2 linked regions of the Danio rerio genome follow. The protein of the gene in region 2 interacts with the protein of the main gene of each other region in a biochemical or structural test. Links are inferred from orthologs where the notes say so. Each region holds a gene or a part of one and is shown on either strand. Other genes may lie near its edges.

What was found. The genes of interacting proteins can lie anywhere in the genome.
Region 1: the proteins of usp5 (region 2) and cacna1ha form a complex in vitro, tested with the Homo sapiens proteins (2 studies listed by BioGRID, with this or other methods). The link is inferred for Danio rerio from reciprocal best matches to the Homo sapiens genes USP5 and CACNA1H.

Annotation. Positions count from the first base shown.
Region 1 is NC_133178.1:38,867,571-38,871,203, forward strand, and holds part of cacna1ha (voltage-dependent T-type calcium channel subunit alpha-1H), read left to right. Parts: intron 1-40; coding exon 41-141; intron 142-1,733; coding exon 1,734-1,851; intron 1,852-1,934; coding exon 1,935-2,003; intron 2,004-2,094; coding exon 2,095-2,276; intron 2,277-2,611; coding exon 2,612-2,738; intron 2,739-3,633.
Region 2 is NC_133191.1:12,331,939-12,336,263, reverse strand, and holds the start of usp5 (ubiquitin carboxyl-terminal hydrolase 5), read left to right. Parts: upstream 1-1,423; 5' UTR 1,424-1,592; coding exon 1,593-1,700; intron 1,701-2,125; coding exon 2,126-2,254; intron 2,255-4,325. UniProt on the Homo sapiens protein: Deubiquitinating enzyme that participates in a wide range of cellular processes by specifically cleaving isopeptide bonds between ubiquitin and substrate proteins or ubiquitin itself.

The DNA.
Region 1 (3,633 bases), on a different chromosome or scaffold from region 2:
CAGGTTGAGTTTGCTGACACTTCTGTTTTGTATGTTACAGAGCTTCTGTTTCCGTCTCAGGAGGACCCTGGCAGCTTATAAACCCAAGTGGTGCAAAGATCATGAGGAATGGTCACTTTACCTGTTCTCTCCTCATAACAAGTACGTAATTGTCCTGATATCATTTTACCACTATACTTAAGTGCATTTTTAGACATCATTTCTTTATCTTTATGTGTGACTCTTTATTTTTACTTCACTAGATTTGAAAGCAATACCACTCACTGATTCAAATAATTCATTCATTGTAAGGTTGCAGTTGATGACTCACTGATTCAAATGATCTATTCTGAGTGATTCTGCAGTTAATGACTCACTAATTCAAAATTATCCGTTCATTGCGAGTTTGCAGTTGATGACTCACTGATTCAAATGATCCATTCTGATCTAGTCTGCAGTTAACGACTTACTGATTGAAATGATTCATTTATTGCGAGTTTGCAGTTGACGACTTAATGATTATGATGATTCATTCTTAGTTAGTCTGCAGTTAACAACTCACTGATTCAAATGATTAATTCTTTGAGAATTTGCAGTTGATGGCTTACGGATTGCAATGATCCATTCTGAGTGAGTCTGAAGTTAACAACTCACTGATTCAAATGACTCATTCTTTAAAAGTTTGCAGTTGATGACTCAGTGATTCAAACGATCTATTCTGAGAGAGTCTGCAGTAAACAACTCTCTGATTCAAATGATCTATTCAATGTGAGTTTACAGTTGACTTCTCACTGATTCAAATGATCCATACTGATCGAGTCCTCAGTTAGCGACTCGCTGATTCAAATATTTAATTCTTTGAGAGTTTATAGATGACTCAATGAATGCAATGATCCATTCTGAGTGAGTCTGCAGTTAACAACTGACTGATTCAAATGATTTGTTCATTGCGAGTTTGCAGTTGACGACTCACTGATCACAGTGATCTATTCTGAGATAGTCTGCAGTAGACAACTCACTGATTCAAATGATCCATTCAGTGCAAGTTTGCAGTAGATGACTCAATGATTAAAATTATCCATTCTGAGTGAGTCTGCAGTTAACAACTCACTGGTTCAAATGATTTAATCAATGCGAGTTTGCAGTTAATGACTTAATGATTCAAAATATTCATTCTGAGGGAGTCTGCAGTTAACAACTCACTGATTCAAATGATTCATTCATTGCGAGTTTGCAGTTGATGACTCAACGATTAAAATGATATATTCTGAGAGAGTCTGCAGTTTATGACTCACATATTGAATTCTAAGTGAGTTTACAGTTATTGACTTACTGATTCGAATGAGCCATTCTGTGCATGTCTGCAGTTAATGACTCACTGATTCTAAATGAACCATAAAGAGCAAGTGTGCTGTTGACAACTTACAGTTCTTATTCAAATGATCTGGTCAGAGCGAGTCTGTAGTTAACGACTCACTGGTTCAGATTTTCCAGTAAGGAGTGCATTTCCCTAATCCTTCTTTCAAACTAAGTTTGCAATTTCCCAACTTAATTATCTAATTTCCGAAACAGGGCATACCAAAAATTTCAAAACAGTTTCCCAAACTTATGTGGTTCCCACAACTGTGCACCTGTTGACCTATACTGTAGTTTGAAGAGTAGTTTCCTTCTCATAGCCTATGATTCATGAGCTTAAAAAGATCTCAACATGATGAAATGTTCACATTTGTGATTGTTCTACAATTCTCTTTTAGGTTTCGGATGATGTGTCAAAAACTCATCTCTCACAAGATGTTTGATTATGTAGTTTTAGTATTCATCTTCCTAAACTGCATCACTATTGCTCTGGAGAGACCCCATATTCAACAATCTGTAAGTGGAATCTTTAATCTCATTTGCTATTTTGTTGCTTACTGAATATACAATGAAGTTTGTTCATTTGCTTTTTATTTTAGGAGCGATTATTTCTCCTCGTCTCAAACTATGTTTTCACTGTGATATTTGTTGCTGAAATGACAGTGAAGGTATGATTTAGAGTTTTATATTATTCTTTCTTTGTTAAGAGCATACATTTCATAAAACAGTTGCATAGACGTTATATGGCTTGTGTTAAAGGTTGTGGCCCTTGGTTTCTACTCCGGGAACCAGAGTTATCTAAAGAGCACATGGAATGTTTTGGATGGGGTGCTGGTCTTTGTGTCCCTCATTGACATTCTGGTCTCTCTGGCCTGGACTGGAAACCGAATCTTTGGCATCCTGAGGGTTCTTCGCCTGCTGCGAACTCTGCGGCCACTGAGGTGAGCCAGCGAAAGGTCAAAACATGCACGTCTGAGGCACAGGCGATCAATGAAATCCCCTACATGGTCATTGCTCCAGTTAAGGAATAAACTGAAGGTTAATTATGTGGTTGCATTATTTCCAGAACCTACACGCTACAAGCCCACTTACTGATTCAGCTTAAGCTTGGCAAAGTGAAGTCTGTTAGCCTTGAAATGATTTTAAAGCAGGCAGTGGTTTATTGATCTTAAAGGTCATTCAGACAATTGTGTCATTGTATAAATGTTAAATCTATGGAACGGAATCTAAACAGCTTGAAATGGCTTGTCTTTGTTTGTCTGTTTTCTCTCTATAGAGTAATTAGTCGTGCTCCTGGTCTGAAGCTGGTAGTAGAAACGTTGATAACGTCCCTGAGGCCCATTGGGAACATTGTGCTGATCTGCTGTGCTTTCTTTATTGTTTTCGGCATTCTTGGAGTTCAGGTGAATGCATCAGTCACTACATTTTATTGGGGCGAATTAGCTAAAAATATTTTTCAAATGGCAAGATATAAATGTAAAATATTTACAATATGAACAGGTCAAAGATGACACTATAGGTGTTCTCATCAAATTAAAATTGTCAATCGAAGCATTTTGACATCTTAAAACACCAGTGCTGTTCTAAAAATGCCAACACAGACTCATTCTGTGTTGTGGCTGCAGTATCGGGAGTGAAGTGTCTAAATAACACAGCTGAGAACCGGGTAATTAACTGTACTATGCACTCCCAGGGGTGTTACAGTCTGTATCAAAAAGTTGAGAACTTTTTTACTAAGGGGGGGTGGGGGTGATATTGTGGGAGTTTTCCGGAAGAAATAACAAAACAAGATAGTGGTGGGAGATGGGTCTGAAATCAAGGAGTGTTGGCTGGGATGGTGGGTGGGTCAATCTGTGCTTTTGAAAACACTATTGGTTGGCTTTGAGGAAGGAGGAGGGTGAGTCATTCGATCGGTCATTCAGTCAACAGCAGCCTCTGGTGGGTTTACACAAGAATAGCAGATGCGAAAGGCACTCAGGAGAGAAATTTGAGATCTTAAAAAGCATACACAGTGGTCTCTGGTGGATTTAAAACAAAAACTGCAAAAAAATGTAGTTCCTGGGACATATTTGTCGCTTTCTAGAAATATATATTTAGAGGTACATTTTTAGAATGAATCTGAGTTAAAGAAATGCTCAGCTGTGAGCACTTCATGAACTGATGGAGCATTTAAAAAATGCAGAGCATGGTTTTCAGAGTGGTTTTTAAAGCAATTGCATCTGTCAGCACAGATATTGGGATATTAAATTAGATTTTTGCAATGAGCATGCTATGAACATGTTTGCTTTGATCAATTGC
Region 2 (4,325 bases):
AGCCTGTGAAAATTGTAGCCTCAGTTTCCTGTTCTTAGCTGACAGGAGTGGCACCTGGTGTGGTCTTCTGCTACTGTAGCCCATCTGTCTCACGGTTGGACGTGTTCTGCATTTAGAGAGGCTCTTCTACCTACCTCAATTGTATATTTCAGTTACTGTTGCCGTCCCATCAGCTGGAACCAGTCTGGCCATTCTCCTCTGACCTCTGGCATCACAAGACATTTGTGCCCACAGAACTGCTGCTCACTGGATATTTAATCATTTTTGGATCATTCTCTGTAAAAACTAGAGATAGTTGTGCGTGAATATTGTAGTAGATCAGCAGTTTCTGTAATACTCAGGCCAGCCTGGCACCAATAACCATGCCACGTTTAAAGTCACTTAAATCACCTTTCTTCCACATTCTGATGCAGGATTTGAACTGCAGCTCGTCTTGACCATGTCTACATGCCTAAATGCATGGAGTTGCTGCCATGTGATTGGCTGATTAGAAATTTGCGTTAACAAGTACTTGAATAGGTGTACCTAATAAAGTGACCGATGACAAGTGTATAGCACAGATTGCATATTACTGAATGTTTGTGTTTAGCACTTGCATGCAAAAAATAAAGTCAAGTCAAGCACTAGTCAAAGACAGAATTTTAAAAAGGCTTGTTACGGTCAAAGTCATGAAACTTCAGTCAATGATGGATTAATTCTACCTTATACAGTCGGGCTCAACTACATTTTTTATTTTATGTAGTTTACCTGCCTCATGTTTTCAACAGCTGGTTTCACACCCATTAAAAACAAATTTTAACAATTTTTAGTTGTTGTGTGTAAAAAATTCCAACTGTTTAGTGTTGAGCTGCTTGTGTTTGCTGTTTTGCAACACAAGTGGCCTATATAACAGCGTACAGTGGATTTAGTGAGTGAAAGAACTGCTTAATTGTGCATAAAGAGTGCATGAAATTTGCAATCTGTGGCTAAGAGAATCTGGATTTGTTTAAAGTTTTGCTGGAAGGATTTAGAAAACTTGTCTAGGTCATTTAAAATTTGATTCACACAACGGGCTTTTTGTGTAAAAACTGTAAGCTGGTTGTGCACTTTCACTCCGAGCCGCACGAGGTCGGTATTCTTATTTACATGAGCTCAAAATTTCCGCTTTCTCATTTTGACAACTGTCATGGCTGCCGTATTACCGTAATACACAAAACACACAAGAAATCAGAATGCCGTTAAAATTCACCTTTACTGATAAAGTACTATAAACGTATCTGCTACACCATAAATTGTAAACTATTGTAAGAAATACCTTACACGAATGTGCACAGTTGCGTTTTGGTGGTCAAATATATTCAGGGTTGTTGAACAAAATATAAGGCGCTCTATTTGAGTGTTTACGGTGAAACACTTGCGGCTGTGATGAGTGCAGTGCGAGTGTGTGCAGCGCCCCTGGCCTCGAATGAACACACTGGATCATCAGCAGCAGCTTTTCATTGAGGGGAATCATAGAAACAAGGGGGCTGTCAGAGACTTCAGGAGCGGGGGCCAAAGAAAATCCAGGCGGGCAAGTGTGCGTAGGAAAGAAGGCAATTCCTGTTGAGGCAGAGATGACGGAGGTTAGCGAGATATTGATGTCGGTTCTGTCCGCGATTCGGGTTCCGAGGCCCGGGGATCGTGTTCACAAAGACGAGTGCGCTTTCTCCTTCTCCAGCCCGGTGAGTCCAGCAACCGCACACTCATCTTCACTCCGGGCATTTTTGTTTGCATAAGGCTGCTGAATTAGTTTTGTTTTCGTAAAGCCGAATGTTGGCTAACTCTCGCTCATTCAGTTGATAAGTTTGCACTATTTTCCCTTCATTATGTCAGGCGAGTCATCACCGCACTGTTGACTCTGCACTCTTTGGGTCACACCCCGAATAAACCATTCATTTACCTTCCTGCAACTTTTAAATAACCACTTCAGCTATCTGAGAGCTAATTATAAGGCTAAACCCCAGCTATATGCTGGTTTGTCTTCTTGAGAAGTCTGTATCATGCGCGTGAATGTTGTTTTGTTGTGCGCGCGCGCGAGACAGGCTCGCTGAGCGCGTGTTGCTGACCCACGGTGTTTTGCTAAAACAACTCTTTTCAATTGTTTTAGGAGAGTGAGGGGGGCTTGTATGTCTGCATGAACAGCTTTCTCGGATTTGGGAGTAAATACGTGGACCGACACCATGCCAAAACTGGTCAGAGAGCTTACCTGCACATCACCCGGACCCGGAAAACACAGGTAAGCTTAAAAAGGAAAGACAATGCGAATCCTCATTCGTGCAAACATTGTTTAAGTAAATGTTCGTAACTATTTAAAGCTACCATAAAGTCAACAAACGGAGTTGTATAATATTGGTGTCAGACAGGTTTCCTGAACACTCCTCCAGATTTCATTGGCTAGCCAAACAGATATTTCCGCCCCAAACACATGCCATTGGTTCAAATTATTTTAGATTGGCCAGGGCAAATAGAACATCAGTTCAAGTGTATGGCTGTTTCTCAATTCCAAGAACACAGACAACGGACTGGCGTTCTTGTGGAGACCGGTCTTGCCCAAGTGGTGCTCGCTGCAGAGCCATTTGGGCGAGCTGAGCTCCAGCGAGGGGGAGCTTGAGCTTGAGCTCCACCTTTTTTGCACTTCTTCTACGAGTGATGTCACTGGGGGTGGGGTTAGGGGTGGGGTTGGTGTACGCATTAAAACAGCTTTCAGGAGGCAGAGCGAGAGCTCATGCTCCCCCTCGCTGGAGCTCAGCTCAGCTCTGCTCAAATGGCTCTGCAGGGAGCACCCTCTCGTCTTGCCAGGTCACCTCAGAAGAACGAACTCTGGAGACCGAGAAAACACAGAATGTGTCCTATGAGAAATGAGATGCTGCGTTCTTCCTGATGCTGGTCACTAAAGGATGCTGTTCTTTATTCAGCTGCAATGACTTCTGGGACTTCTCAAGCGAGTTTTCCACTAAAGTCTGCATCGATGCATCCTTGATTTCAAGAATACATCCGGGAACATTTACGTATGCTCTGTTCTTGCGGTCTTAAGTTTTAGAAGTGAACTTTGGCAGTTGATGATGACGTTACATGAGGACACAGGAACGCATATTGAGAAACAGTCTATCTGTCTGTGAACTGCAAGTAGTAGAGGCATATTTTGCAGTTATCCCATTGAACCATACGAGATGTTGTTGGCAAGATGGTGGAAATACTTTCCAGAGATTTTCAGCAGAAGTTTTCATGCGTTTTCTCCAAATTTATTCATAACCTAATCATTTGATATAATAATTCATTTAGCAACTCCACTCGCTGACTTCATCCGTTTTCTTATGACAGTTAACCTACTTGGTGTTGCTCCCTGATGTTACTAACAGTACAATGGTGAGCCCATCAAAAGCAATTATGAATGCTTTGCAACTCGCAGCTTTACCTGCACAGTGGAGTAGGTAATACATAATAAGTGTGATGGTTGGGTTTAGATATGGAGAAGTTGTAGACTTTAATAACTGTGACGGTTGTAGGGCTGCTCGATTATGGGAAAAATCATGATCATGATTATTTTGGTCATAATTGTAATCAACTGATAATCGTTTTGAATAATCGTGAAGTCAAAATTATTCGCCCTTCTGTGAATTTTTTTATATATAAATATTTCCCAAATGATGTTTAACAGAGGAATTTTTCACAATATTTCCTATAATATTTTTTCTTCTGGAGAAAGGGTTATTTGTTTTATTTTGGCTAGAATAAAAGCAGGTTTAAATATTTTAAACATATTTTAATAGCTCAATATTATTAGCCCCTTTAAGAAATATATATTTTTGATTGTTTGCAGAAGAAACTACTGTTATAAAATAACTTAAATAATAACACTAATTAAGCCTTTGAATAGCACTTTAAGCTGAATTCTAGTATCTCGGAGAATATCTAGTAAAATATAATGTGCTGTCATCATAGCAAAGATAAAATAAATGAGTGATTAAATCTGTCATGTTTAAACTGAGCTTGAAGCATCTTCACTGTAAGAAAAAAACTTCAGCTACAAAAGTCCTTCAGTCAAGAGCAGTGAGGGATTTTCTCCTTTTGTTGTTTGATTAATAATAGAAACAGGCCACAGCAGGAATATTGCGCTGTCACTTTAAGAATAGTGCAGCTCTGATATGGTTTCTCTTTCACATGTCTTTAGATTCTCAACTTGTTTGTTTACTACACAAATGAGGGTTAATATGAATAATCACTAAACACCGCGCTCTGACACAAATATGCATGTATTTAACCATTAAAGCGCTCACATTAAGATGGCGATAGATGTATGTGCCCTG